6 linked regions of the Daphnia pulex genome follow. The protein of the gene in region 6 purifies or fractionates together with the protein of the main gene of each other region. This does not show direct contact. Links are inferred from orthologs where the notes say so. Each region holds a gene or a part of one and is shown on either strand. Other genes may lie near its edges.

Region 1 (4,776 bases), on a different chromosome or scaffold from region 6:
CTTCTTTTTTTCAGGATTCTCGTTGCCTTTGACCAGTTCGGTAGCTAAAGGAATTTCATTTTCCACTTGAGGTTTTTCAGCTTTTAACTTCTTTGGTTTGGGCTGTTCATGTTCTGAAGCCACTGAAACATTTCCAGCATCGTCGGTATTGTCTTTCCTCCTCTTGTGTGCGACTTCATTAGTTTTCCTACGTGAAAAGAAAAAAGAGCTATTGAAGAAGAGCTCTCAGTTTCAAGTGAAAATGTGTACTTACTTGGAATGATTTGGTTCAGTTATCTGAGAAAAATCATTCACTTGGGTAAACGGTTCATCTTTTCCCTTGTTTTTCCTCTTCTTTTTCTTTGGCACTGTTTCCTCTTGGATTTCTTGATGATCAATTTCAGGATATCTGTGTGAATCATTATTATAATTATTTTTATTAAAAGGGCTCAACAAAAAACGTATTCTAAAATCATTTTAACTTACGGAATGGGTTGGGATTCAGGATCTTCGTCTTTGCCTTGATTCCTTCTCCGCTTTTTTCGATCTTTTTCTTGATCGGCTACCATTAATGCCTCTGAATTTCTAAAGAATCGCAATGCGTTTTTAGAAATCATTTCAATTGTTCAAAACTAAACGAGAAACTTCAACTTACTCGGCGAAAACCGAAGGTAGAACTCGTTTCTTTAAAGAAACGTTTTTCTTTTTCGTGATGTATGTATAATAGTCATTCATTTCTTCTCTTTCAGTTCTGTACTGTGACATTTTTTTCACAGAACACCACTGATTAAGTTCTTTTTCTCTTGCAACGAGGATCTAAATTGTAAATTAATTCGTTATAACTGAATGTTGCACAAGTTTTTTTTTGAATACCTCTTCTACATCCAAACCAAAATCATTTTCGACAACTGTCCTGTATTTGAATCGAACAGGTTGGTCACCGATTATATCCTCGTAGTCCAGTTTGTAATATTCTTCTAAATATTCTTCATAGTTTGGGTGCCTAGAAGCAAAGAAATATTTATTAGAAAGAAAGATAGCATGACATTAATTTGACTTGGATCAAACTTACTGTTCAGGATCAAACACTGGTTTCTTCGTTTCCAGCTTTTGGGCGAAAATTGATTTTTTCCGACCTCTGTTACGTCGCGTCATCTCGATCATTTCCTTTTTAGATTCTTCTCTAGCCTCCTCATAATCGCAGTCCATCTGAAATTTCCCCATGCCAAAAGAAAAATTAAATGTGCTGACTTTTCAAGTTATCCCTTCCAATGTAATCTACATTAAAATCTGGATCCTCGCAGTGTGGCCCGTCATAGTCGTTATCGTTATAGTGATCATTGCTGGTAGAAGGGCCTGCTTCTTGACCTTTATAGTCATCCCAATTTTCTATAATTTAAAACGAAATGATGAAATCGTGCTGATTGTTATTCAACTCAATTGTTGTAATACCATCATCGATTTCAGGGTCGTAAGGAAATTCTGGCTTTTGATTTTCATTGTCGACATGGTAATAATCTTGATTAAAAATCTCGCCCATTTTCCTATCGTATTGATCAGGATCAAAGTCACCTTCGAGATCGTCGTCCTAAAATGCGAAATAGTAATTACAATGGATTTTGTTTGGGTAAAATGTCCTCATACTTGAAAAGGGAGTGATGCATTGCCAGTGATATTCTTAAGCTGTTCAAGCTTCTCTTGGATTTCTTTCAGTTTGTACTTTTTTAGCATTTTGAGATCTTCCTTTTTTTCTTCTTTTTCGCGTTTTTTGCGATCCTTCACTTCATCTCTCTTAGCTTTTCGGCTTGTGTCAGGTTTTCTCATTGAATCGGCAATAGTTCGGGGATATCTTTTGATCTGTTGAAATAACATACAATTAATTATTTGATTTTGGTAATTAAAAAGAAAGATAGCAAGAACTCACAAACTCGGGGTCAGGTTCTTCAAATCGGAAATTATACTTGTGTTCGAATTCCATCTGTTGCTCTAAAGCCTTTTCGTCTTCACTCAGATCGGCCTCTGATTCGTGAACAACTTCCTCGTACGTAGGAATGTAGTTCTTGTCTTCTGAACACTTGTACCTTTAAATTTGAAATATTATAAGAATACTGTTTGGAACAAAATGGTTGAGTACTTTTTACCTTTTGTTGAGGAAAAAATCTTTTAAAAATGCTTCGTTTTCATCCAACTTGGGGTTTGACCAATATTCTTTAAGAGGCTCCAGTTGTTTTTTTGTCTCTTCATTGGTGATATCTTCTTTTCTACCTTTCAGCCATTCTTTGTATTCTTCTTCTTCTTTTTCCTTTAGTGATCAAATGGTGTTAATTACAACTAGTACCATAGGTTTGGTGACATCTATTACCTTTTGGATTTCACTTTTGGGGCGAACTGTGAGAAGGTCCTCACTCTCCGAATCAGAATCTTGTAGGGCAGCCTTGAAGCCTATTTTCAGTTCCTCTTGCTCCTGTTGGAAAGTTCGTGGAGGTGGAGGAGCATCCTCGTCATCACTCATTTTTCCACCTTTTTCAACCATGATTTTTCTTTCATAATCCCTCAGAGTGAAAGCTTCTTCTTTTGTTGACTTCTTCGGAAGTGCAGATTGAGCAGCTTTGTCAAAGAATTTTTTTTCTGCATTATAAATGCTGGGATCTTTCTTCTTCAGTGACGCCAAAGTTTGAAAAAACTGCTTCTCTACTTCTGAATCCCAGGCCTGTTGAATAAAATAATTATAAATTGAATTTTATGTGATGAAAGAAAATCAAAACAAATCACTTCTCCATCCTCATCTTCAGTTTCTGAAGTACTTGAACTGTCTGCATCTCCTGTAACCAACATTTTCATGGCGCTATTTTCTCCATATTTATCTTTCACTGCAAATTTTTAATTTGGTTAGGTAAATTAAAACATTAAAGTCTCTTATGAAGTTGACTGACATTTTTGATATTCTTCTTTCTCGCGCCAATGGTTGTATTTTTCGGCGTAGTTTGAATTGATTTTCAAATTCCCCTCTTCATCCGAGCTTGCCTCATCAAAGAGAGTAGCCATGTCAAGCTATTAATTTTAGAAGTTTTATTTTGAAATTAATTGCTAGCCACTAAATAAGTCGCAACTCGAATGCTCACAACCACGTGTAGGAAATACCACAATAATCTGTCGTCGTCTGCTAACTTTAAGAATCGATCAGTGAACAGTTTTTGCAATCGATTTTTTACTTGAAATTGAAAGTTGTAGTACATTCTGTACGAACATTTTCAAAAAGCCATATCAAATTATTTCTATTTAAGAAATAGAAAAAAATCTTTGATTCTTGTCATGGTCGTTCTTAAAAAATGATTGATGATTGCCTCAGTTTTAATTTTTAACGTCTTTACTTGCGTCGCATGTGTGTTGCACAGGTGGTCCACCTGGTACACGGTAGATGGTTGAGAATGACAGTTTACGTATTGAATTGAATGTCTTTTAATTATTTTAGAATACCCTTAAGGCCATTCGTTATTCAGTTTTTTTTTTTTATTTCGATTTTTTTTTTGTTTTTGGTTTTTTGAGGTATTATGTTTTTAGGATCATGTTACGGGATCTTTGTAAGGAACACTGTGTAAACTGTGAAGAAAAGTATTGATTAACTCTTTCGTTGATTAAGTTTCTCGAACAAATTCTTCAGATTCGGTAAAGGATGAAAGGCGATTTTTCTTTTTTAAATATCTCGTTTTCAGAAAAGGTAAAGTTCTTTGCAAGTATGTTGAAAGAAAGTGATAGGTTGGGTTTTTCGCGAGGTCATATCCCCCAAAGTAGTCGAATAGATGATGAATTGCCAAAATGAACGGTTCTTCTTTCGACGATACGCGTATATATAACCCCAACTAATGATAACTCGACGTGTTTGATGAATAGAGAGCAGCGCATCCTTATTCCGTGATGACGGATGATATCGAGATGAAGCGTATCTTAACCGCGCACCGCCCTGTGACGTTGAAGAAGAGACGAAAACGAGAGAATCCGATCCCGCTGCTATTATTTTAGACGTGTGCGGTGGATGTAAATCCTTGCATATGCGTGATTCAATAAGGGAAGGTATACGACGGTCTTTGTTCTTTTGACGGAGAACTTTGTTAGACGGTCGGTGGCTGTTGTTGGAGCAACCCAACTCCAACCAGTCGTACAATTATATTGGCCAATCGAATCATAACGTTTTATCTTTCTCTTTCAGGGCGGAAAGAGACAGATGGGATAGACTAATTAATATAATGGGATCTGATTCATCATCATCGAATATATGGGGATAAGGATTCCGACTCACCTCGCAGTCAGGGTGTGTCCCAGCGCCAACGAAATTTCGAAGGATTTCAATAGGGTCAGAACACGCGAGAATAGTATATTTCGTTTACATGCCACTCTACTATGTGTAAAGGCTTGTGTGTGTTTTTTTTTCCCCTTTCTGTCTCCCAGTTGCCCCCTATTTGCCTGATGAAATTGAAAGTGTAAATTGCAGAGCCAGTTGCGTCTAGCCTAGCGTGTAAGACGCTGCTTCCCTTTTTCCGTACTTGTGCAGGATCGATATCCGGTGTATAGGTTTATTCCGTGTTGTGTCAATAAGAAAAAAGGGCCAAGCTCTAACCCGATTCTGCTTTTATCTCTTATTCTTTTCATTCTTTATACTATATCTGCGTGATGGCCTACCTTCCGGGCGTAAGAATATACTACGTACATCATTTCTGGGAAGATAAGTAAAATTTCGTGTAAATAGGAGAAAGAACAAGCATAGTACGTAGTATGTATTTCTGTAAAAGATGTAAACGG
Region 2 (4,784 bases), about 2.7 Mb from region 6:
ATAGTTATCAGAACTATGTACCCTAATATTAAGTAATCAATTACCTTCTCTGTATAAATTCAAAACCTCTTGCCTAAGCATGAACTGAGAGAGAATAATTTTTTATCAGAAGCTCTGCAATGTGATATGTTAATGCTATAAATATGGAATTACCTGCTTAAGAGTGAGCACTTTTTTAGGAATTCTTGAAATGGTAGACATAGTTATTTGTGGGTAAATTCAGATTACTAAAACCAGTTGAAAGTGTTTTGATTACTGAAGTGATTTATTCTAGGAGTCTATTATCAATATCATCTCACGATCTATTGACAATATTCATTAATGGTTAATTCTACGATACCCTTCAGAAAAATAACTATTTTTATTTCCATCTCAAACAAATGAGCGACGAATTCCGCCCGCCATCTCTTAAGGAAAATTACCATTACAATATTTAGAGAAATAAAGCTTGAACGAAAATATTGGATACGCAAATTTATTGTCTGTGGACAACGTATAAAACAGTCAGAAAAATTATCGAGAAAATTGCCGTTTGTCGCTTGGTTTCTGTCCAACTTGACGATATGTGCTTGCTTTTGTACGGTGCTTAGTTCCTCCATGGGTCTCCCCGAAGTTCCCTTGGCGTTTGCGAGGGCGGTCAGCTTTAGTACTACGCATGTCTACAAAGTAAAATGTATGAGTCAAATTTTGTGAAATCTGAAATGTCAAGGCCAACAGATAAGATTAAACATACTAAGGTCTACTGTCGGTGGAACTTTGAAACCAAAACTTTGGGCCACTCTAGCCAGGTCGAGTGTATGAACGTCGAAGATTGTTTTCAAATGATGAGAATCATAAGCACGAATGTAGGCTTTGTAAGCTTCTTTTGCTGACATATGGAGGAAATAATTCTTGGAAACCAGTTTTTCCAGCTGAATAAATAACAAAAAGTTTGTTAGTGAAATTAATAGAAATAACATAACCGTAAATATTTTTCTCCGAACCTGAGGTTGAATATCAGCAATTTTGCTCCAGGAAAACTCAAATTCGTTAAGTGGAACTTTGGCTTGCTTCAAATACCGTAAGAAACCTAATTCTTCTGGCCTCAAAAGAAGCAAGGCGTGGCCCTTGCCGCCTTGGCCGCGAGCAGTACGCCCGACACGATGAATGTATTCCTAAAACGAATTGCTATAGTGACAATTTTTCAAGTATTTCTATTAGATTGAGTTACCTTAGGATCATCTGGAGGATCATACTGGACGATCCAATCGACCGCTGGGATATCCAATCCTCTTGCTGCCACGTCCGTACAGAGAAGGATTCCAGAATCCGCATTACAAAATTGGAAAAATGTTGTCGTTCGCTTAGTTTGCTTTTGTTTACCCTATTTCATAAATAAAAAAGATTAGTACGAAACGAGATGTAAAACCCAACTGAATCTTACGTGAATGCACATGACAGGCATATCGATGTAGTTTAGCAATTCATGGTGAAATTTGACGGACAAGCACGAACTAAAGAAGACCATGATTTTCTTCTTGCGATTACGTTTAAGAAAAGAAAAGAGCATGAGAAAACGCTTTTCGGCAGGGCACACGACATAACCTTAAGAATACCAAAGATTTAAACGCTGAATTTAATGACGAAAATGCTAATATAGAAATAACCTTGTTCCAGTCCCTCAACCGTGGCTTTCTCAACGACATCCTCTACTCCAACAATAATTGGCTCCTTCTTGAGGGCCAAGCGAGCAAGATCCTCAATTTTCTGAGTTGATGTAGCGGAAAACAGCATTGTCTGTCGTTTTTCTGGCAAAAGTCGTAGCGTGAATAATTGATTAAAACAATGGCAATTAAAGCTTAGACTTACTAGGTAAAATACGAATGAGCTGTTTTAATTCTTCTTCAAATCCGATATCCAATACACGATCTGCTTCATCGATAATGAGACATTGGAGATTTTTAAATAGAAAATCAGTCGTGCTATTCAAGTGATCGAGCAATCTTCCAGGAGTTGCCACTAAAATATTAACACCCTTTACAAGCTTTGCAGCTTCAGCTTGACGATTTGCACCTCCCATAACCAGACCATATGTATGGGAATGGTGTCTAGATGAAGACAAAAGATATTGTAAAACCCCAATTTATGTTTCAAAAATGCATGAACTCACCTTAACAGTTCACGTAAAACTCCAAAAGTTTGCATGGACAACTCTCTTGTGGGAGAAATAATAATAACTCCAGTACCTTTCATAGCAAACAAGTGGTTAAATACAGTTATTATTGAATAGAATACAAAATAAATACCATTTCGCGGCATAAACTTCAATTTATATATCAGCTCAATCGCGGGTATCAGAAAAGCCAATGTTTTACCAGAACCAGTTTTGGCTTGTCCTAACAAATCACGTCCCTCCAGTAAATGAGGAATGGATTTTGCCTGAATACATATTCATCATATTTTTTAAATAATTACTATTATTATTAAAAGTTTCCTTTTTATGTTACCTGGATTTCTGTCATTTTTTTGAAGCCCATCTCTTCAACAGCTTTCAAAGTCAAATCTGAGACACTGCCTTCCAACGAAGCAAATGTCTGGTCACTAAGAATTCCAACGTTGATTGATGATCCAGGTACTAAGAAATAAATCATTTGATTTTCAAGATAAATAAGAAAACAAAAATCAAATAACAATATCCTCATTTCACCAACTAGAGTAACTTACATTGTTGTAAATCTTCAGCATCAATATCCTCATCATCTTCATCTACTACTTTCTCATTATCTGAAGTAACCAGTTGTGTTTGCTTCACAGCTTTTTTAGAATTTGTTTTCAGTTTCTTCACTGGCACTAAAAGTATTGAGTAAATTAGTAATCATGATTTCTTTTAAACTGTCAGGTTTAACCTTACGTTCAGTTTCATCAACATTCTCTTCTTTTGTTGCGACTTCATGTTCGTCTTCGTCGGATGCGTCTATTGCAAAAATCAACAAATTAGTAAAAGAAAATATACAACTCAACAAATTAGATTGCTATTACCCTCGTTTTTCTTGTTTAGAACTCTTAGTCGACTCTGTTCTCGTTTCTTGAGTTTGCGTTTTAGTTGAGGATCGGGCATAGACATTTTGAAAGAAGCAAAGAAACACGTGCACAGCTTTCTAGACGTTTATGCAGACGACTCTGCGACAGAATCGATACTCGATAGTGTTCACTGTTCAGCGTTGTTCTGAATCGGATGTTACTTTTTAGATTTTAATTTATAAATGTCATGTTACATTCAAAATAATTTCATTCAAAATTAATTCAAGTAAAATCTTTGATTTAAAAAAATAAACCAATAACTTTGATAAAATACAAATTTTGTAGTTTTTGATTTCCGATATTTTTCTATATCGATACTTAAGAAAAGTGGAAAAAATTGTTATCTGGCAAACGCAATATTTTTGTAATCATGTAATGCCCGCAGTAGAAAATAATAATAATTCAAGATTGTTTCAAGTTCGATTTACAAATCCCGCAAGAGAGACGGTCACGTGACATGTGCTAGGAGAGACCTAATCCTAACGTGGGATTCTTGTGTCACGTTCTTAAGTTTGTTTATTACATGAGACATTTTAACTCATAAGAAACTAATAATAAAATATGTTATATGTTACTCTTCTTAAATAAGAAAATGTACAATAACTTTAAGTAGTTCTTATACACTTCAAATGTTTCTTTGTTCCGGGAATGAAGGCAATCACGCCCACACATTCAGTTAAAAATTAACCGTCCTCCCCCCCCCCCCCAGACTAAAAAATGTGCAATAAAGGTAAAGTGAAGCCAACCATTCAATCCGCTTTCGATCGACATTTTCCTGTGGTATTTTCGGTCGTTAAAAGAGGCGTCGTTCGATCAGTCGTTATATTTTCTATTTTGGACAATTGGTACTACGCTTGGGCTAAATTTATATTTTCCAAATCTGTCCAATCAATCGAGATATTTTAACTTGATGGGTCTTTAAGACTGTACGTCCGTATCCCGTCGTAGACAATCTCTTGGCTGACACCTAAGAAAGAGATTAGGTTCTCCAAGAAAGAGAAGAAAGAAGGCTAAAGCATTACGGGCCATAGAGGAAGCCCTTTGCGTTACATGGTCACTCGGTGTGCATTTAACTATTTATAAGAACACTCAGGCAATCTAAAACTCGTGCCCTGCCAACATGATGGCTCGGGCCATTTTATACTGACGCTGAGCTGATAATACAAGATGTTGAACTTGTGTTCATCAATTATGAACAAACGCCGGACGGTACTATATCATACATAGAGCCTATTAAAAGAAGCTTGTCTTTTCGAGAAGATCAAGACCGCAGACTTTGAATTCCAGCAGCATATAATCATTAGAAAGCTAGCCTTATTCTAATTGAATTTCACAAACAGCAAGGGGATGCAACTCCGGGAACTGTGTGAAAATGTCGACGATCTACTGTGTCCCTCACGTATTGTTATAAGCTCTCACAACAAGAGAATAGTAGCCAGAATAGTAGGTGGATAGCCCGCTAGCGATAGGGAAATACACGTTTTTATATGAGGGTTGATGGCAAATGGATTGGGCAAAGCCGGAAATCGGTAAAACTTCAATGCAGTTCCCAGGCAGTTCCGAGGGAAAAGAAAAACAAAAGAACAGGCGTGGTTTTATAGGGTCCAACGACAAGTTATAAAACCGCGATAGCATAGATCCAGAATCACTATATAGATTGCACCCAGTTGAATGATGAAGATCCAATTGGAACTGATGATAACCGCCTTCTAAATCTATTTAAA
Region 3 (4,850 bases), on a different chromosome or scaffold from region 6:
CCGGAAAAAATCTGCATAAACTTCAGACGATACCGACGAGCCATCGTAGAAGGTAGACATCGTCCGATTCAGGTAATTTGCAGTCTTTCACCGCCTCGCGAAACTGCCGGGAATTTAATGTAAAAGTCAATAACAGGTAACAGAACCAACAGTCTGCGCAAACTAATCAACAACAGTAAACAAGAGTGACTTGTAACTATATTGCGCAATAATCTGGGCTCTAATTCACTTTGGGGGTTTTCTGAAAGACGAACAGGTGTATCATCATTTTCAAACACGATGGTGAATAAAGAAAAAAAGCTTAAAGTAAACTAACAAGGTAACGACGTAACGGTTTATGATTTTATGGCACGACATAAATCTCCGAAGAAAAGTTGTAAAACTAGAAACAAGTGTAAGTTTTGAGTAGAAAGTGCTTTTAAAATTTGACTAAATTCAACACATGCAAAATAGCTCTCGTAGTAGGGAAATCGAATGAGTTCGTGCGTAATGATTTGAGAGCCTCGGGATAGCGGAGACGGGAAGATTCAGGAAGCGAAATGTAGGTAACTGCCTCTGGGTTCAAAATACTTTTGACCGCATTTTCATTAATATCATCTTATTCAATCAGAAATTCGTAGACAACTAATTCAGAAACCTGTTCTGAAGGTATCGTGCAAATTTCCTAGATGCTAAAATATATGGAAAGAAAAAGTAAAAATGTAACATACCTGTTTTAACACAGTTTTCTGGTCGTCGTTGAGCTGGTCGACATTCATCTCGTGAAAAAGTAGCAACACTGGTGTGGAAGAACTCGTGTATCTAATCTGCCAGGCGTTTCTATTAACACTTCCTGTTTTTTTTTCAGATCTGGAAATGAATAACAGACCTATTGTTTAGTTTGCAAAACTGTTATTTCCTACCAATGTTTTGGACACGAGACTTGTGCAAAATGCAATAACTGAGACGTAAGTTCAACGAACTTGTATGTCACGATCCAAAGATTAACTCGAGAAAATAACAACGTGCGAGACTGTTGGCACTTTACAATGTAGTGTGAAGGCCGAACCTGATATGTTACAATATCAAGGACAATCGTCAGACACGTCGTGAATGAAGACGAACGTACTACGAACTGTTTCTTTTCTACTGAAGAGAGGCTGAAGTAAGAAAACACCTGTATGGCCTGGCCAACAGCAGCCAGCTTGTCCTAATAACAGGTATAGGTGAGCCCGGAGGGCTACGACCAAATTCTTGGGTAAAACTAGTGTTCGTTCACCCCTTAAGAAACTCTAGGGGGGAGCGTGGTAGAGCTGTTGGATAACAATTCTTGTTTGGTACAAATAGGTATTCTGTTATTTTTACTTACATCAAAGGAAACAAAGTGTCTAGACGACCTCATCAGCTTTAAGATTCTTGTTGAGTCATGATGACACTCACAGATGGTGAACCCCCAAACAGGTTGATAAATTAAACACAATCTGTGCGATTTTTCCTTGCGATTACCGTGAAAAGTGGATCACTAGATCACTAGATCAGAGCAAAATCAGAGACTACATCAATGTAAGAATGAAATAATCAAGGTTGCCAGAAACTTGATTGAAAATAATTGACATACAATTTGCGAAATTGGTACGTTGCCACTGGCGTCTAGTTGCTGTCACTGGCACATTTTATCAAATTTTATATTCAGCTTAATTTAAAAAGTATTACGACACACAAATAAATATTGAGGGATGGTCAAGTAGGTCGACAGTTTTTTTATTCAGGTCGATCACGCTCACCGTTAAGATCTAAAAACAAAAAAAAAGGATAAAATAATTTGTAATTTTCAACTTAAAACTTCGTAAAAGGACTTTTCTATAAAGCGAATGTTTAATCAAAAATGCGATTAATTAAAATAATAATGGCAAAAAAAAATGGAAAATCCACTCCCCCTCTAAAATAATTCCGTGCGCGCAAATCTTGCAAAAAGCTGAAAATAGAAGACTGGCAACAGCACATTTTGAAAATGGCGGCCCCGTCAACACGAAAACGTGAGTCCAAACAAAATCAACGAGAAATATTTGATAGCATTAAACTTCAAACTAAAGAAGTCATCCAAAGCCGTAAAAACATCAATAACATCATCGACATCCAATCCAATCTAGAGGTATTTTGTTTTTAAAAATGTCAATAACACGTGATTGAAACAATGCAACATTTCCACGTTGGATCTCTTAGAGTGATGAGAGTGCCGTAGTCAAAGCCAGTATCAAAGCTTTGGATAAAATTTTTTGCCATTTCATTGCAAATGGTTCTCTGTCTGAGCAAGGCCCAGTATTGGAAACAGATGCAGATAAAAAAGTCAGAGAATGGAGCAGAGAGAGATATCAAGAATTTCAAGATCGGCTCTTCAAACTTATTGCTGCAGAGCAAATCAGTCTTCAAGAACTTTCTCTTGTTCATCTCATGCATCTTTTTCAAGCAGAAGGTCAGCATCCCCTTCCCAAATTGCCTGAAGGAAGGGAGCATATGTTTCCTCATGAGTTCCTAGAGGTATGTTTGAGAAAACAATTGTAACAATTAAAAACTTGTTTACATTAATTCTTTTCTAATTACAGAAGCTAATGTTGCACATGCTCAGTCTTGAAAAGGAAGCTACTCCATTACTCACTCGCTTTCAGGAATTCATGGAGTATGAGGACATTTTGTTTCATCTTCTTCGTGTCTTAGCGAAAATACTGAAAGGCAAAAGCAATGTTGATGAAAAATTTCTCAAGAACCTCATTCATATTTTGGAACACATTACATTGCACAATACTCCTCCCAAGGAGGAAGAAAAAACCAAACTTTTTTGTTCCAGTAACATCAGACAAATTTCATTATTTTAATACTGAATGATAAAAATTTTCTTACCTAGATAAAAACCATTTCAAGTGGAATTACGGACGAGCCAAACAGTTCTTCAGTATCATTTGGCAGCAACTGTTAAAACATCCTCTGACTCCCAGTCTGTACAAACGAGTGCTTGTAATTCTGCCGGAAAAAGTTCTTCCGCATTTAGATAAACCTTTGTTACTCACAGATTTTCTAATGGAGTCGTACCGAATTGGTGAGAATGGAAATTTCAGTTAAATGCTTGGTGGTTGACTATACATGTTTCGATTTTATAGGCGGAGCTGTAAGCATTCTTGCTCTTCACGGAGTCTTCCTACTGATGCAAAGCCATAACTTAGAATATCCTGACTTTTACACCAAATTGTACGCCCTCTTAGAACCAGGAGTGCTTTTCGTCAAATATCGCGCGCGATTTTTTTACCTTTTGGATTTGTTTATGACATCAACGTAATATTATTTACTTCCTGTTTGTGTGGTTCGTTTGATTAACATTGATTCAACTTTAGACATATTCCAGAATATATAGCTGCAGCCTTCGCAAAGCGCTTGTCCCGATTGGCGCTGATTGCTCCAGCGAACATCGTAATACTACTTCTACACTTTGTAGGCAACTTGATGATTAGACATCGTGGACTTGTACGATTAATGCATCGTCCAGAAGATCAAAAAGGTATTAATTTTTGTAATTTCACGTATTCCGCTTGGTATTTACGTCGAATTATTTTGAAAACATAGACATAACTGATGACCCATACATAATGAGTGAAACGGATTTGAATGCTTGCAAAGCAACTGAAAGTTCTTTATGGGAAATTAAAACCTTGCAGTCTCACGTATTGCCAGAGATAGCAAATACAGCTAAATTTATTGATCGAGACCTGCCGAAACTTGAATGGGATGTTAACCAAGATTTGGAAACTACTTTGGAAGATGTGAGTGTTCAATAACGATTATTCTAATACCGTTATCTTATGCAAGTATTTTGAATCTTTCTGCAGCTGTTGGAGAAAGAGTTAAAGCGTAAATACCCCACAGACGATATTCCGATCAACTTCGAAAAACCAACCAAGTTTGCCTGTGTGAAACACGAAAAGCTTTCAGCTTATTTTGAATTGTGAAATGTCTCTTTAACATTGGAATAAAAATAATTTCCGTCACAATTTGTCTTTGTCCAATAAATCTACAATTTGGATGGCCTAGTCTGGGTTTTACGTGGTTTTCGTAACACCAATAGATTTTCGATTGACCTATTTATGTTACTCACGAAAACCTTTATTCAGTACGGTCAGAAAGTAGTTGTGCGTGTCAGTTGGGAAAGTAAGTTAAGCTCCAACGGTTCAGATTGGTTTGGGACGCATCACAGTTAAGCTACTTGGAAACCCAAACCGTGAGATAATAATGGTTAGTCCTTAGTGTGAATATGTTAGAGTAGGGTCAGGATGTCATCATCTGGACATTGGAGCGCAAGGAAATGGAATTCGTGTACGAACTAGTAAGTGAACACTGAATGTCGTAAATTCTTAACAATTAAACCACAAAAACTAATAGAAAAAGGGTTGCCCTAGGTGAGGCTCGAACTCACAACCACGGCATAGCATAGAGTACTGTCATATAAGTACCGTGCGCTAACCAATTGCGCCACTAGGGCCTAGATACGAAGAGCAAACTAACGTACAGTACCGTGAAATTCTTTTCCGGACAGATTTACTTTCACTTCAGCATTCCAGTGTTGAACGGCTAAGTGAAAGGTTAGACATAAACAAAGACACTACAGTCAACTTAAGAAAACAGTGGATTAAGATTGTATGCTGCCTAGACTGCCTGTGTGTGGGTGTCTCAAAATCTCCAATATGATACCCGTTTTACTTAAACACTACGTCGTTGGGTATTAAAACAAAACATGTTGTTTAGTAAAACTAAAATAAAATTTTGCATAGAAAAGATCCCATTAAGAAAAATGTGAAAGCAGATTTTGTAGCCGTAGGCACATT
Region 4 (4,842 bases), on a different chromosome or scaffold from region 6:
AATTAAAGAACAAATCAAAGTAAGACGGGTCTACCTGGCTTCCGATGATCCTTCTGTTCTTCCAGAAGCAAAGAAAAAGTAAGCTCCCTTTTTGTAATGCCCTTTTTTAAGTTTATTTTCTTAAATGATCTTTTGTCTGGTTTATTTTCCCCCGACAGATATCCGGAGTATGAATTTCTTGGTGATGTGTCGATAGCCAAAGGAGCGGCTGTAGCAACGCGTTACACAGATTCGTCCTTGCGAGGCATCTTGGTCGATATTCACATGCTTGCACACAGCGATCATCTCGTTTGCACTTTCTCGTCTCAAGTGTGTCGGTTGGCGTACGAGATCATGCAAACACTTCACCCTGATGCATCAAGCAAATTCAAGTCTTTGGATGATATTTACTACTACGGTGGACAAGGTCCTCATCAACAAATAGCTATGTACTCGCACAAAGCCCATAGGCCTGGCGAGATTTCTGTAGAAGTAGGTGATGTTTTAGGGATAGCCGGTAATCACTGGGACGGCTACTCCAAGGGTACAAATGAGCGGACCAAGCAATCTGGACTCTACCCTTCCTTCAAAGCCGTGGACAAGTACAATATAATTGATTTCCCCCCATACAGTGAGGTGGCCGTCGCTGCATGAGTGACGACTGCTTAGGTAAATAACATTTTGCGTTGAGTTTTGTAAACCAGATTGAAACGTGCTGAAGTCACAGTCACATCAAGGTAACTTGAGTTTGGTTTCAAGCGCTTTCCATACACTGTTTTGAGTGCCGTACTGGTTACTTACCGGTTGGCCACTACACACAGCTTTTAAGGACTTTGGGATTATGACTTGACACATTGCACAGTGCATTTTTCTTTGTACAGGGTGCTCTTCTGCTAAATATATATTCACAAGATTTTCTTATTGTTTTTTATTTTGTCAATTTCGAACATTGGAAAGCATTGGTACACGACTGTCATTAGTATTACTTGACTGAACGTTTAAATGGTCGTGCAAGAAGTTTCGTGAGCTCTTTGCGTTTATTCTTCAACTCTGTTAAAAGCTGAGAATGGCTCTGAGCAGCACTACCACTGTCGGAATCCTGATCACTTTCACTAATTACTAAATCTGCTTCTTCTGCCATTTGCTTCATCCAGCTCTTGTCTGACCTCTCTCGTTTGGTTCGATGTTCCAATGATTCTATTGCCTTGGCTAAATTTACTCGTTGTTTGATGGCGGCAAAAATTCGCATGTCAACGTCGTAGTCGGGTAGATCATTCTTGTCTTTCTTCAAGGTGGAGCAAAGTTTACGATATGTTGTCGCTTCTTCAGGTTCAATCAGGATTAAACTTAATCCTTCACGAGAAGCTCGAGCTGTACGACCGCTACGATGGACATAATTTTCAGATGTTCGAGGGACCTAGTGGGCGAATAAATGATTTTTAAATACATTAGCCTTTGAAGATATCGGAATACAAATTTACCTGGAAGTGGACTACATGTTGAACATGTGGGATATCAAGTCCTCTGGCAGCTACATCAGTGGCTATCAGCAACGCGTTATCTAGACTTGAAAAACGCTCAAGATGTTTGAGTCTTTGTTTCTGATGCATTTGCGCGTGCAATGGAAGAGGGTTAGTTTCCAGCAAAGTGAATACAGATGTGAGACGGCGCACGTTGTTGATTGAATTGCAAAACACTAAAGTACGACCCGGATTGTGTCGCAAGAAATAATAGAGATAATAATCCTTGTCTTCAACGGTGGCCGAGTACAACTTCATTTCCGAAAGCGATGCGGGTTTCAGCGATCTTACTTGAGTTGTTAAATCAACTACTTTTGCTTTGGGTCTGACGCCAACCAAACTAAGCAACTTGTCAAGTTTCATAGCTTCTTTCTTCTTCTTCGATTTGAGATTACCCAATCGGTTAGGTAAGTCATGTGCCAGAGTAAGTGTAGCGGAGAAAACGAAATTTTGTCTCCATCGCTTTTTTTCTTCGTCTTTGTTAATGTGTTCAAGCAGAGTACGGACTTCGGCAAAATGACCTTTCTCCAAAAGCCTATCGGTCTCGTCCAGTGCAAGGTATCTAAAACCGACAACATCAAATAATTATTAAATGAAGAGTAAATAAAATGTTGATTAACTAACCGAATATCTTTAATTTGAGAAAGATGCGAATTTCCGCCTTCAATCATTTCCCAGAGTCGACCAGGAGTTCCGATTACAATGTCTGGCCCTTTGCTTAAAATTCTTTCTTGTTTAGGCGCTGCCATTCCACCAATCACGAGACAAATGGATATGTCTGTGTACTTTGCAACGGCCTTTAAATGTTTTTCAATTTGAACTGCCAGTTCTCGAGTGGGAGTAATTATCAATGCTCGTAATTTTTTCTGTCCTTTAATTATTTTGGTTTTTTGATTCCCTAACTCAACTACATCAAATACTCTCACTCTCCCAATTCCACCTCCAAAATCCTCCATCTGTCCTCCAGAGTCGTCAGAATCTTCTTCAGCAACAACTGCTTTTTTTTCAACTCGCTGCTTTTTGTTGCTTGTATGGCCATCATCATTATTTTCATCTGAATCATCTGCATCATCAGAATCTTCAGATTCTTCTTCATTCTGTTTCAGCTTTTTCAGTTCAAATTCTTTATCTTTAAGGATGCCATTCAGTATGGGAATCCCAAAAGCAAGGGTTTTTCCTGACCCTGTTTCTGCAGCTCCAACAATGTCTTTTCTTCCCTTCATTGCTGTTGGTAAGCAGGCAAGCTAGAGAATGAGACCAATCAAGAAATTGCATGTGTAGATCATACAAACAAAATCTTTTCTCTAGCATACCTGGATTGCTGTTGGGGTTTGGAATCCAAGCTCCCAGACAGCTCTGACTATTGGATCTGGAAGATACATTGCTTTCCAAATAATCATATCAGGTGTGATTTCAAATGGTTCATCCTTGGTTTCTTCTATGTTTTCTTCCGTGTTTTCATTTTTGTTTTCATCATTGTTTTGATTGCTCTTAGATTCTTCCTATATAATTGAGAAACATGCTTACACAAAAATGCAGTGAAAAATTAAATAACAAGTTTTACCTTCATCATGATGGAATAAAAAGCACAAGTGCTGAACTGACAACAATAATTTGACTTAAAAAACACGTGTCAGCTTGACGAACCCACAACCAACATGAATTGTGCAGACGATTTTAGCTTCGTGGCGTTGCCATCATATACAAATCTGTATACTATCTTAAAAGTAAATATGTTAATTTTTAGAAACTCACGTATCTACAAAAAATCACAATAATTTATTTTTTATTGTAGATAGTTGTCATAAAAATTATTTTCTCATTATCAGGCTACAGCCGGTTGCCCGGTGCCTCAGGCTTCTCTGTCATTAATACTTAGCAGACGATAATGTCGTCTCTTCCGTGATACACTGATACAGTTGGTCAGCGGTGTAATCTGGAAACATTTCCATTGCCAAAATCAAGTAGTGTAATACAAAAACGTGTAAGAATTTGTTGAATTTGTAAGAATGGCAACTATAGAAGAAATTGACGATCTCAGTGTCGAGATTATTAATAGTATCAACGATGAAGAAGAAGAACCCAAAGAAAACGCGTCTAGTCCGGCACGTGCCCCTGAACGACCAAACTCTGAATCGGCTGATGCCTCTGTCGTTGCCTTGTCGTCATCAAAAGCATTAGACGAAGCAGACTCAGACGACGAAGATGATGATGTAAATAAGAACAGTTCTGTAATGTAAAAATCATCATTCACTGTTATGTTTTTATTTCAGGATTTTGATGAAACAGTACTCGAAAGATTGGTTGGTCTGACAGAAATGTTTCCAACATGTTTACAAGTTGCAACTGCTAAACTCTTTTATGGTACATTTTCATCTGCTAAAGGTGTGTACACCAATTAATGAAAAAATTGATCTACATGGTTTATTTGTTAATTATGTTTGTCTGTTAACTACAGCCTTTTAACATTTTTTTCTTATTAAGGTTTTTATTCCTTTGCTCGTTCTGCTTCATGGGTTATATTCAGCACATCTGCAATCCTCTTTGCTCCAATTATATTTGAAGTTGAAAGGGCACAAATGGAAGAAATGCAGAAACAACAGCAACGACAGGTATATTTGTGAAAAACACAATTTATACTCTTATCCAATTGATATTGATATTACTGAAATTTAAAAGATATTGTTGGGCCCTGGTGCTGCCATGTCAGGAGGCAGTCCTCATCCAGGAATGGCACCAGTTCCATCACCTATCCGTTAAGATCTCGTCAGATTCTTCGTTCGCCGTAGTCTTTTTTTATGTAACTGGCTTGATAAATTACAACTAATGACATTTAAAAAATTTATTTGTCTCAAGAGCCACAAAAGTTTTTCTAGTTCTCCCTTCCACACACATTATACTAGCCTATTTTTTTAATTTTTTTGTAGGCCTAACAGTCAGTTAATAGTTGTAAAAAGAAGTTTGTCTAGTTTAGTATTTCTAATGGCAATTTACTTAAAACATATTTTTTTGTTTTACATTGATGGCCCCTGAAAAAGAACGAACGACTCGAAGATGAATAAATAGCGGTAACGGAAATTTGTAATCGATGTATATTACTAGGTTATCATCCAGTGCAATCAGTAACTGCATTATTAGATCAATAACAAATAGTTCAAAGAAGACGACAATTTTCGTAGACAATGTTAATCTGTAAGAACATTTATCAAATCTTGAAAATCTGTAACAAACCATGCAGCATTAGCTTTAACAACCTCTCGCGCGACATTGCCTCCATATCCTATTACCAAAATAAGGACTTGTAGGTATAGAATAACAAAACATTCTTTTTAGATTATACCAA
Region 5 (4,981 bases), on a different chromosome or scaffold from region 6:
TTCCAACGAACTTAGTATAATAGTTTCTCCTTTTAAAATTTGATCAAAGAAAGCCTCGTTTAAACCACACCTGCTAATAAAACAAGTTTTTAAAAAAAGAAACGCATAACACGATAATTTCAACTTGGAAAAATAAGTTTACGAATAAATACCCATCTATTTTCATCGTTTTATTTCAGACCCCACTTACATAAAAGATGTTCAAAATAACTGAATCAATCGGCGAGAAAGAGAAGAATCGAGAATGTGTGTATCGGCCCGTGGTGGCAATTAGAATCAATCAATCGTTATAATCAGCTCATAAAGAAGATTAGACAATCACAAAAGCAACTCCCACACTACTTCTTACAGTGACCCCTAAAGGCCTTGGCCATCTCCAAGAAACCCTTCTTCTTCGACTTGTTTTTGACGTTGACCACTTCGTAAAAGTGAGTGCCGATCTTCTTCTTTTTCTGATCGCGATCGATCTTTCTCCTCTCTCTCGAAGTCAGCTTCCAGCGCGGGTTTTCCGGTCGGTCGTCCTCGTCACCGCCGCCTCCTTTCTTGGTCGATCGCGACGTGGGCGTCACGGAAAAGGCCCCGCTCTTGGTGATGGTTCTCGCTTTGAGTTTCAGGGTCTTGGCTTGTTTCTTCTTGGCCGCCGCATCCACGTCGCTATCTTCCTCTTCTTCTTCGTCCATCTCATCCTCGTAATCGTCTTCCTCGTCGTCGAGACCTTCGTGGTCTTCCCCTTTGGACACATCAGCCGATTTCGACTCTTCCGTCGCTTTGTCGGTGGCCACATTCTCCTCTGCGTCTTCATCGTCTTCCGCTTCGTCGGCCGAAGGGTCGTCCATGAAGTCCGGCTGGGCCTCCAAAGGCTGGACGTCGTCACCTTCGTATTTCAGATCCACCCGAATTTTACTGAAATCCTGGGCCAATCTGGGCTCGAATTTCTTCTTGTCCTTTTCAGTCTCCTCTCCCGACTCTTCAACAGCGGCGGCTGTGGCATCTCCTTCGGTTTTCTCCTCCACTTTGGCCGCATCCGGATTGACAGGGGCGACGAAGAAAGGCAATTTGCCTCGCTGCCAATCGTTCAAGACCATTCGGGCCACGGCGTTGTTGTCCGGTTCTCCACCCTTTAGCAGCCTGCCCGTTCGGCGGGCCATCTGGTCGAGAAAGTCGGTGGCATCTTTCCAGTCGTTCAACCTGTAGACGCGGCTCAAATACTCTTTCTTCACCCGTTCCAGCACAGCTGGAATAAAGTCTTCGGGCGTTTTCAGCTTTTCCACTTGAACGACACCCTGAAAGAATAGAGCAATCGTATTAGAATTTGCAATCAGGTAAATCAAATTGCGATCGGTTTACCTTCAACACTTTTTCCTCGTCCGTCTCTCCGGTGGGAAATACAACTCCCGGGCAGTCGATGAGGAAGATTCGACGCATCAGCGTGATGTACTGCCAGACTTTGGTCTCACCGGCGATGGGCGCCACCTTGCAGACTTTCTTGCTGCGCAGGGTATTGATGACGGACGATTTTCCAACATTCGGGTAGCCGATGAAACCCACGCTGATTTGTTTCTTGTCGCTGTGAAGCTTGCCGAACTGGCGCAGCAAATTGATCAACGAACCTTTACCAAAGGGATGGGTCATCGAAGAACGGAAGGCCATGGTGGGGTACTCGGAGCTGAGCGTCTTGACCCAACGTTGGGTAATCCAAGTTGGTACCAAATCCACCTAGAAAGAAGCATGGAATGAGGCCAGGGGTCTAAATTATCTTGGGAATGACTTTGCTTACCTTGTTGAGCACGAAAAACAATTGCTTGTGGCTTTTTTCTTTACGGATATAAGCTTCGACTTGCTTGCATCGAGTTCCCAAAGGATCACGGGCGTCCAAAACCTTTTCAAATTAAACATTTAGTACAATTGAACTCAAATAAATGATTTGGTATAATTCAATACCTGGATAATGACGTCCGAGCAGTCAATCACTTTGTACAATTCTCCCCAGATTCGTTTGCTGAGGCCAGCCTTCATGATCCACTCTCGAGTCAGTTCGCGATCGTCTGGCAGATCACGAACCAAAGCTCCGTCCTTTTCGATTTCGTAACCGTCACCGAATTTTTGGGCTGAGGATACGTAGCTGTCCAAGTCACCGGTGGCAAGGCTCGGCCGCTTTCGCTGTTTCTTGGGGCCAAAAGTGTTTTCAAAGCTTTCAGTTTCCAGCAAGTGAACTCTTGCGAATTTAGAGGATTCCTTCAGCAGAGTGATGGGCAGCTTTGTCTGACGCATTACTACTTGATAGGGATCCTTGATGGCCTGTCCAAGTTCTTCTTGGAATTTCTGGAGTGCTGATTGGCCAACCTAAATATAGTCACGTAGATTAAGATATTTGATCACTATCAAAGAAATGGTGAAGTAGTAATTACGATCACATACCACTCTGACATTTCCAAACCAGCGCCGGTTAGGTTCCACACGTGCAACAGTACCAGATGCAAATTTGGATTGAAAAGGTGCTGGGCGGATGACTTTGCCTGATTCATCACGCTTGGCCTTAAAGTTACGGTACATCTGCAATCGTTTGATTGTGGCCTTATCTCTTGCCTTGCTCACTCCCCTCAGACCAGAAATTTTTCGATCTGGGTTCATACTGCATCAGAAGATTTTATTAGCAAACATTTAGTATATTAGTGACAAATAACAAACCTGTGTCCGGATCGGTTAAATCCATCTTTTCGTCCGGCCTTTTTGACCGGATCGGTCTTACGGACAGTCCTAGCCATTTTGAGGAAGTACGATGCTTAAACCTGTTTTTAACATTTGAAAACATTGCTATTCAAAACACGAAAATACTGAAAATAAATATACGACCTACCACTCAGAATCAGTAGCTTCAATATCTGTAACGTAAACAGATCAAATGCAAACTACTTTTATAAAAAAACAAAATTTGTCATAAACTTTAAAGCGTACAACTTTTCGTACTTCTTTTCACACGTGTTGTCGTGAAAAGTCTCTCAAGAAAACGTCTGCTATTTGAGCTGACATCTAGGAACAAATTCCAAAGTTAAAACGTGCTGCCATCTAGCGGTAAAAAATTCACATAGTAAAAAAAAAAAATTATCATTCCATGTCGCCTATCGACGTAAAATGCCCAGTGGCAGAATGACTAAAGAAAAAACCTGTTTGACTAGCTCAGCCTATCCCTTTGGTAACAGCTTATTACTTATCGGAACACAAATCACATCCTCTTCTTTTTTTTTTAACTCTGCGTGTCATTGACCGACCAACCAACACACAAAAAAAACCACTTTGAATCCTCTCCATCCCTATAAGGATTATATAGGCGGGTTCGATAATATTTTTCTCCTTCTTTCTTTAAAAAAAAATCAACCAATATAGTATACATGCACTTGTATACGAACACACACAGTTATAAAAGAAATTTAAAAATTTCCGAGTCGTGAAGTTACATGAAATGTGTATACAACATCATTTACGAGGAACCGTGCGTACAAGACACAAGAAATATTTAAAAAAAAACACACACACACAAACTTGTCTTTTTTGAAAATTTTTCTATCTTTCATATTTCTTTTTTTCTTTTCTTTTTGTTGTCTGCTTTTCGATATGATGTGCTAAAAATGTAAATGAAGTTCTCTCGCCCGTCGGCGGCTTCTTTCTCTGCCAGGAGAATACATGTAGTATAAAAGACATGGTAATAATTTCATGCGACATCTCAATGACATTTCGGCAATTTTTCCCACCAAACAAAAAAAAAATTCAAAAATTTCCGCATTGGATTTAAAAAACAAACAAAAGTCGATAGCAAAAAATCGCGCAGAAATATTTTAAAAAAGAAAAAATTCCCATTCTGTTCTACATCTAAACAAATGAAAGAGAGAACAACGCATATGTACACTGGGTTCAAATTTTGTGATTTTCCCTGGCCAATTTAATTAATTTTTAAAATGGCGGAAATGTCTAGATTGCGCATTTTATTCGTTCATTTCAAGCCCTGGCCAGCTGCTGATCGCCATCTTCTTTGTGGTTGGCATTGTTGGTCGTCGTGTTGGTGGTGGATCGGATGACTTTGACCTTTTCGGCGTGAGCCGTGTAATGGAGCATGTCGGTGAGGAAAGTGCGGCCGGAAGAGCGCGACGTTTGAGTCTGCGAGGTCAGCCGGGCCGAGCGCGAAGATCCGCAGAGGAGCTGGCGGTAGGCCGATCGGTACTGCCGGTTGGAAAACGCGTAGATGAACGGGTTGATGACACTGGACGCCCAGGCCAGGATGGAGGCCATCACGTGAATGACTGGCACTTTTGTCTTTTTCTATGGAATTAAGAAATTAAAAATCAAATCAAATCATCCCAATCACAATGATAATTTTTGTTCACACGAACCTCGTCGTCGGCCACGTTGACCACCATGAGCGGCAGGAAGCAGAGGAGGAAGCAGCAAAAGATGATAAGCATCATACGGGTGAGTCGCAGGTCATCCCGTCTCTGGTGCTTCTCCGACGTGCTCTTCTTGCCCGGCTTTTTATTCACCGATTTCATCACCGGAACATTGGCCTGATGCTCTTCCGCTCTGTTGTTGCCACCACTCGTTCCGGGGCTGAAATTCAAATGAAACCCATTTTTTTTTAATTTCCCGCCAAAATTTAAATGGGCAATTTATTGATTTACCTGTGGGCCATGACGTTGCGTCTGGACTGTTTGACTTTGACGAAGATGCACGTGTAGGAGACGATGATGGTCAGACAGGGGATGAGAAAGCCGAAAGCGAAAAAGAACTTTTTCGGCGACTTGCCATTCTCCCCCGGCAGGATGGTGCAGGAGAAAGTGGCGGGATTGAGGCCCAGGTCGCCCCAGATGCCCAGCAGCGGTGGCGTCATCATCAGGAAGCTGAAGAGCCACGAGCCGAGGATCATCAAGACGATCAGCGGGCGCCGGTAGATCTTGTCGTACCAAGACGGCGAAGCTATCAGAATATACCT
Region 6 (3,907 bases):
CACTTGGCAGTGTGGTGGTCGCTTGGAAATTGTTCCTTGCAGCCGAGTGGGACACGTTTTCCGTAAACAACATCCTTATTCTTTTCCAGGTTAATTAACCAATAAAAATTTTAATTCAACAGAAATGCTAATAAATATGAATTGGCTATTTCTTAGGTGGTTCCGGGACAATCTTTGCCCGAAATACTCGCAGGTAAAAAAACAAAATAATAATGAGCAAATTTAATGCAGGACTGACATTTCGCATTTAGGGCGGCGGAAGTTTGGATGGACGACTACAAAAAATACTACTTTGCAGCCGTACCGATGGCTAGAACTGTAACATTTGGAAAGTAAATCAACTTGTTAAATTTTACTGCGTTTACAGCGCTCTAAAAAAACGTTTGTTTTCAGCATCACCGATCGCCTTGCTCTACGCAATAGTTTGAATTGTAAACCCTTTAAGTGGTACGTCGAAAATGTTTACCCGGAGCTATTGAAACATTTGCCTACAGTGCGTGACCCAAGTGGAACAAACTCAGGTGCCATAAAATATAAGTCGCTCTGTTTCGACACATACGGCCGAGGTGCCGGAAGCCACATTGGTCTATATGCATGCCATATGACTGGTGGCAATCAGGTACGAGTCAAAAAAAGAAAGGTGAATGTTTAAGGCTGACCTACATCTAAATTATCTGTATCCACAGGCATGGACTTACCTTAATGGTAGATTACGTCATGGGTCATGGTGTCTGGCTCCTCCAACTCCAGCTTACGTCGGGGCCCAGGTGATTACACTGCCCTGCAGCTCTAGCAACGATCAGCTATGGGACAAATTGGAAATAGGCCAGTTGCGTGGTGTTACCGTTGTCCATCGCCTCTCCAATTTATGTCTTGATGCACGAAATGCTCAAGAGATCACAGTGCAAGAATGCCACCCCAGACTGGATACCCAAGAGTTCGTCTTCACTCGTTAAGAATCAAATCCCTTCACAATTTGCAAATCAGAAATCTAAGAACGTTTTTCTGTAATGCAACCATCGCCACATGATCCTGCTTAATATTAACAACGTTCTAGTCATAGGCAGATGGAGCAGCGTCTTCATTCATGGAGCTTGAAATTTGTGCCAGACCTTACGAAAATTTACCTTTTTACATACTTAAAACTATGAATAAATTTTATAGTGCCATTATTTACCGTCTTTATTTCAGTCAGTTGGGAATTTCGTTTGGATTTTACACATGTTTACGTTTTGCTTGGCCTTTGCGGATTTTGTTTTTCAACTCTTCCACGTTAATGTCAGAGGTCGAATCCTTAGCTCCAGACGATGTGCTTGGTTCTTGAGGGGGAATAAACGCACTTTCTCGACGTTCCTTTCTTCGTACTTCAGCTTGCTCTTGCTTTTCTTGATTTTCGTTCTTCTTGCGTTGTTTACGCTGATCCTCTTTTAAGAAGTACTCGCCAGTAGCCAACAATTTGTCCACCTTGCTTTCTGGTGGTGCAGGAGGGAAAGGGGTATATTCCTTCTTAGCACGCTTCTTGGCAGGTTGCTTTCTCTTGCTCGTGTTCTTGTGTGGAATTGTAGGTAGGAAGCGCTCCCATGATTCATTCTTTAACTTTTCATCTCTTGCAAGTTCCCTTTTTATCATAAGGGCCTTGATGTGATAAATAGGATGAACGTTTTCCATTGTGTCTTCCACCACTCTTCGAACTTGCTGCAATCCCCGATATGGTCCAACAGCTGAGACTGTATTTCCCTAAAATTAAAATCCAACATCACACAATTTCTTTCAATATTTAAATGTTTTAAATTAATACCTGAACAAGGATATAGCAATTTGTCAGTAATTCCAAAGCTTTAAGAGTAGATCCATTTGGTCCAATCAATCTTTGTCTTCTTTTAACAAAACGGTCTTTATTCTGGGTCTGGGTTCCGATTTTGATAATATCACAAGCAACATCATCATTCAGGATTTTGACTGCTTGTTCATATGGAACACTTCTTGCAAGTAACTTTACCATATCACGAGCCTTCAAAATGATGTAGGGATCCCATGTTTTTCTGCTGGTCTTCACAGTCATACTACCTTCAATTACATCGAGTTCAGCTTTTATATTGTATTCGCCAAGGGCTTTCTTAACAAGAGGCCAACATTCTCTGAGATAGACTTCTCTGTATTTTGGAAATAGTGTTGCAAATGAACTTTCTTCTAAAAGGCCATGAGGATTGTGCTCTTGTTTGAACTCAGGTAGCTTCATTTTCCATGCGTTAACTATTCCCCCCTCGGGAATTACTTCTTCTTCGTTAATAGGGTCACTCATTTTCGAATTGTCTGATCGAGATCTTTCTACTGAAATTTAAAATAACTGAGAAACGCCCGTAACTGTCAAGAACAGTATCCCACGTGTCCTCTCTCTTACTGCGCACAATTTTACAATGACGATACAAGAAATGTCGTCTGCCATTTTGTACTGCGTTGCCGGTTTGATTTTTTGAAATTAAATACAAGAACCAAATTTTTTTATTTATCATTTTTCTCGCGTCGGACGCGGATCGATAAAAACTTAACCGTTTATCGACGAAATAAAAATAAACTTTAACCTATTCAAGGTCAGAATAAATTCCAAGTTAAACTGTAGGCCTGTAAAATCTAGATTCGTAAAGAATGAGATACACATGAGACATGAATGAGATATAAAAATGGATTGTGAGAAAAAATGTGACAGGATAAACTTGTCTTCAAGCCAACAGCCAAGCTGTTGGACTTTCTTGCCAACCGAAATAGTGACTATAGATAGAAAGACAGAAACGGGTCGCCAGGACCGGGATATCAAGCATTTATATTTGAGATACCAGCCTTCATTTGTTCCTTCACGTTTAAACATATAGCTTGAAAGGTTCCAGGGCGCTCATGGAAGGTTCCGCAGGTAACATCAGAGAACTACATGAAAACGGTTAGTATTTTCAATCTTTTAATTTTTGAAGACCCGTGTGTTTGAATACTTTTTCCAACAACTGTACAGGTGACTGGCGAGGAATAGTTCAACTGTACGAAAATGGTTTTACTGACGAAAAAATTCTCTGGTTTCAGCCGGACTCTGATGGTTTAAATTTTTTACACAAGAATCTATCGGAACTTGGAGTACAAGGTGTATCTAGTATTGGTTGTGGCAGTGGTCTGTTTGAATGGCTCATAAAATCTTCAACAGGTGAGAAAGAACGCCAATTCCCTTTTGATGTTTTCCTTATACAACAACAAAATTACCACATATATATTGTACAGGTTTGCCGGTAATAGGCTATGAAATAGACCAAGGTTGGTGGGAAAGTAGGTACAGCCCACCCAAATTTTTAAGTGGAATCAGCTGCATTGAACCAACTACATTACCGGAACTAAATTCTAAATTTGCTCTTCTATTTTGTTATTTCAACGACTCGAAAGCCTTTGAAGCATACCTTGATAGCTTCACAGGCGACTGTGTGATTCTTGTAGGTCCGGATGAGAAAAACAAAATTCGATACTGCGACCCACAGCCGTTCCAACTGAAAGACAGTAAAGGCTGGCGTACACATGCAGTCTGGCGTAGCAAGTTTCTTGAAGCAATTGTTATTTATAAGAGGTCAACCACCTTTTGTCCACTGTGATAATAAAACTCTTTATTTACCCTCTGATTTAACACGCATGCATAACGAATGGTAAGATTACAAAAAGGAATTCAGTGGCAAAACAAATCTGCATTCACGTTGGAGCATCGCGCGAAACACAGGAGTGTAACATGGTCAACACTAGTCTTGTCGTGTGTACAGGCGGCTTTAGAAGTGAAACAGATTGACAAATTATCATGATTACTGCATGTCTTTAAATTGTCATTAGCAACGGATCTTAAAGTGAATGGAAAAAAATATTTTTTTGTTTTTTTTAAACG

The links.
Region 1: the proteins of KRR1 small subunit processome component homolog (region 6) and protein KRI1 homolog purify together in Homo sapiens (affinity purification with mass spectrometry; 3 studies listed by BioGRID and IntAct, with this or other methods). This does not show direct contact. The link is inferred for Daphnia pulex from reciprocal best matches to the Homo sapiens genes KRR1 and KRI1.
Region 2: the proteins of KRR1 small subunit processome component homolog (region 6) and ATP-dependent RNA helicase DDX18-like purify together in Homo sapiens (affinity purification with mass spectrometry; 3 studies listed by BioGRID and IntAct, with this or other methods). This does not show direct contact. The link is inferred for Daphnia pulex from reciprocal best matches to the Homo sapiens genes KRR1 and DDX18.
Region 3: the proteins of KRR1 small subunit processome component homolog (region 6) and nucleolar complex protein 4 homolog B-like purify together in Homo sapiens (co-immunoprecipitation; 3 studies listed by BioGRID and IntAct, with this or other methods). This does not show direct contact. The link is inferred for Daphnia pulex from reciprocal best matches to the Homo sapiens genes KRR1 and NOC4L.
Region 4: the proteins of KRR1 small subunit processome component homolog (region 6) and ATP-dependent RNA helicase DDX24-like purify together in Homo sapiens (affinity purification with mass spectrometry; 3 studies listed by BioGRID and IntAct, with this or other methods). This does not show direct contact. The link is inferred for Daphnia pulex from reciprocal best matches to the Homo sapiens genes KRR1 and DDX24.
Region 5: the proteins of KRR1 small subunit processome component homolog (region 6) and nucleolar GTP-binding protein 2-like purify together in Homo sapiens (affinity purification with mass spectrometry; 3 studies listed by BioGRID and IntAct, with this or other methods). This does not show direct contact. The link is inferred for Daphnia pulex from reciprocal best matches to the Homo sapiens genes KRR1 and GNL2.

Annotation. Positions count from the first base shown.
Region 1 is NC_060018.1:4,442,217-4,446,992, reverse strand, and holds the start of protein KRI1 homolog, read right to left. Parts: upstream 3,136-4,776; 5' UTR 3,025-3,135; coding exon 2,913-3,024; intron 2,850-2,912; coding exon 2,752-2,849; intron 2,690-2,751; coding exon 2,342-2,689; intron 2,282-2,341; coding exon 2,121-2,281; intron 2,061-2,120; coding exon 1,904-2,060; intron 1,837-1,903; coding exon 1,624-1,836; intron 1,568-1,623; coding exon 1,432-1,567; intron 1,369-1,431; coding exon 1,262-1,368; intron 1,189-1,261; coding exon 1,052-1,188; intron 983-1,051; coding exon 853-982; intron 796-852; coding exon 635-795; intron 565-634; coding exon 466-564; intron 389-465; coding exon 254-388; intron 188-253; coding exon 1-187.
Region 2 is NC_060023.1:6,843,559-6,848,342, forward strand, and holds ATP-dependent RNA helicase DDX18-like, read right to left. Parts: upstream 3,185-4,784; 5' UTR 3,104-3,184; coding exon 3,019-3,103; intron 2,954-3,018; coding exon 2,891-2,953; intron 2,830-2,890; coding exon 2,704-2,829; intron 2,615-2,703; coding exon 2,487-2,614; intron 2,419-2,486; coding exon 2,286-2,418; intron 2,226-2,285; coding exon 2,150-2,225; intron 2,088-2,149; coding exon 1,849-2,087; intron 1,788-1,848; coding exon 1,647-1,787; intron 1,585-1,646; coding exon 1,424-1,584; intron 1,364-1,423; coding exon 1,211-1,363; intron 1,155-1,210; coding exon 984-1,154; intron 912-983; coding exon 734-911; intron 660-733; coding exon 514-659; 3' UTR 460-513; downstream 1-459. Other genes in the region: LYR motif-containing protein 2-like, read right to left, coding at 45-84, 154-201. UniProt on the Homo sapiens protein: ATP-dependent RNA helicase that plays a role in the regulation of R-loop homeostasis in both endogenous R-loop-prone regions and at sites of DNA damage.
Region 3 is NC_060027.1:896,766-901,615, reverse strand, and holds nucleolar complex protein 4 homolog B-like, read left to right. Parts: upstream 1-1,961; 5' UTR 1,962-1,990; coding exon 1,991-2,131; intron 2,132-2,202; coding exon 2,203-2,517; intron 2,518-2,582; coding exon 2,583-2,823; intron 2,824-2,881; coding exon 2,882-3,073; intron 3,074-3,134; coding exon 3,135-3,306; intron 3,307-3,365; coding exon 3,366-3,529; intron 3,530-3,594; coding exon 3,595-3,791; intron 3,792-3,857; coding exon 3,858-3,977; 3' UTR 3,978-4,019; downstream 4,020-4,850. Other genes in the region: SEC14-like protein 2, read right to left, coding at 34-103, 711-758.
Region 4 is NC_060027.1:4,484,271-4,489,112, reverse strand, and holds ATP-dependent RNA helicase DDX24-like, read right to left. Parts: upstream 3,217-4,842; 5' UTR 3,073-3,216; coding exon 3,064-3,072; intron 3,002-3,063; coding exon 2,813-3,001; intron 2,744-2,812; coding exon 2,124-2,743; intron 2,062-2,123; coding exon 1,461-2,061; intron 1,397-1,460; coding exon 962-1,396; 3' UTR 893-961; downstream 1-892. Other genes in the region: alpha-(1,6)-fucosyltransferase-like, read left to right, coding at 1-78, 159-633; mitochondrial import receptor subunit TOM22 homolog, read left to right, coding at 3,509-3,712, 3,773-3,884, 3,984-4,111, 4,179-4,259; phosphoserine phosphatase-like, read right to left, coding at 4,685-4,779, 4,840-4,842. UniProt on the Homo sapiens protein: ATP-dependent RNA helicase that plays a role in various aspects of RNA metabolism including pre-mRNA splicing and is thereby involved in different biological processes such as cell cycle regulation or innate immunity.
Region 5 is NC_060028.1:1,711,543-1,716,523, forward strand, and holds nucleolar GTP-binding protein 2-like, read right to left. Parts: upstream 3,009-4,981; 5' UTR 2,858-3,008; intron 2,790-2,857; 5' UTR 2,766-2,789; coding exon 2,689-2,765; intron 2,633-2,688; coding exon 2,419-2,632; intron 2,344-2,418; coding exon 1,942-2,343; intron 1,880-1,941; coding exon 1,778-1,879; intron 1,717-1,777; coding exon 1,348-1,716; intron 1,284-1,347; coding exon 339-1,283; 3' UTR 159-338; downstream 1-158. Other genes in the region: protein trapped in endoderm-1-like, read right to left, coding at 3,994-4,314, 4,386-4,599, 4,671-4,979. UniProt on the Homo sapiens protein: GTPase that associates with pre-60S ribosomal subunits in the nucleolus and is required for their nuclear export and maturation.
Region 6 is NC_060023.1:9,551,996-9,555,902, reverse strand, and holds KRR1 small subunit processome component homolog, read right to left. Parts: upstream 2,447-3,907; 5' UTR 2,303-2,446; coding exon 1,799-2,302; intron 1,738-1,798; coding exon 1,216-1,737; 3' UTR 1,168-1,215; downstream 1-1,167. Other genes in the region: polypeptide N-acetylgalactosaminyltransferase 2-like, read left to right, coding at 1-89, 157-193, 252-332, 394-619, 687-956; uncharacterized protein LOC124198094, read left to right, coding at 2,893-2,935, 3,005-3,190, 3,265-3,626. UniProt on the Homo sapiens protein: Part of the small subunit (SSU) processome, first precursor of the small eukaryotic ribosomal subunit.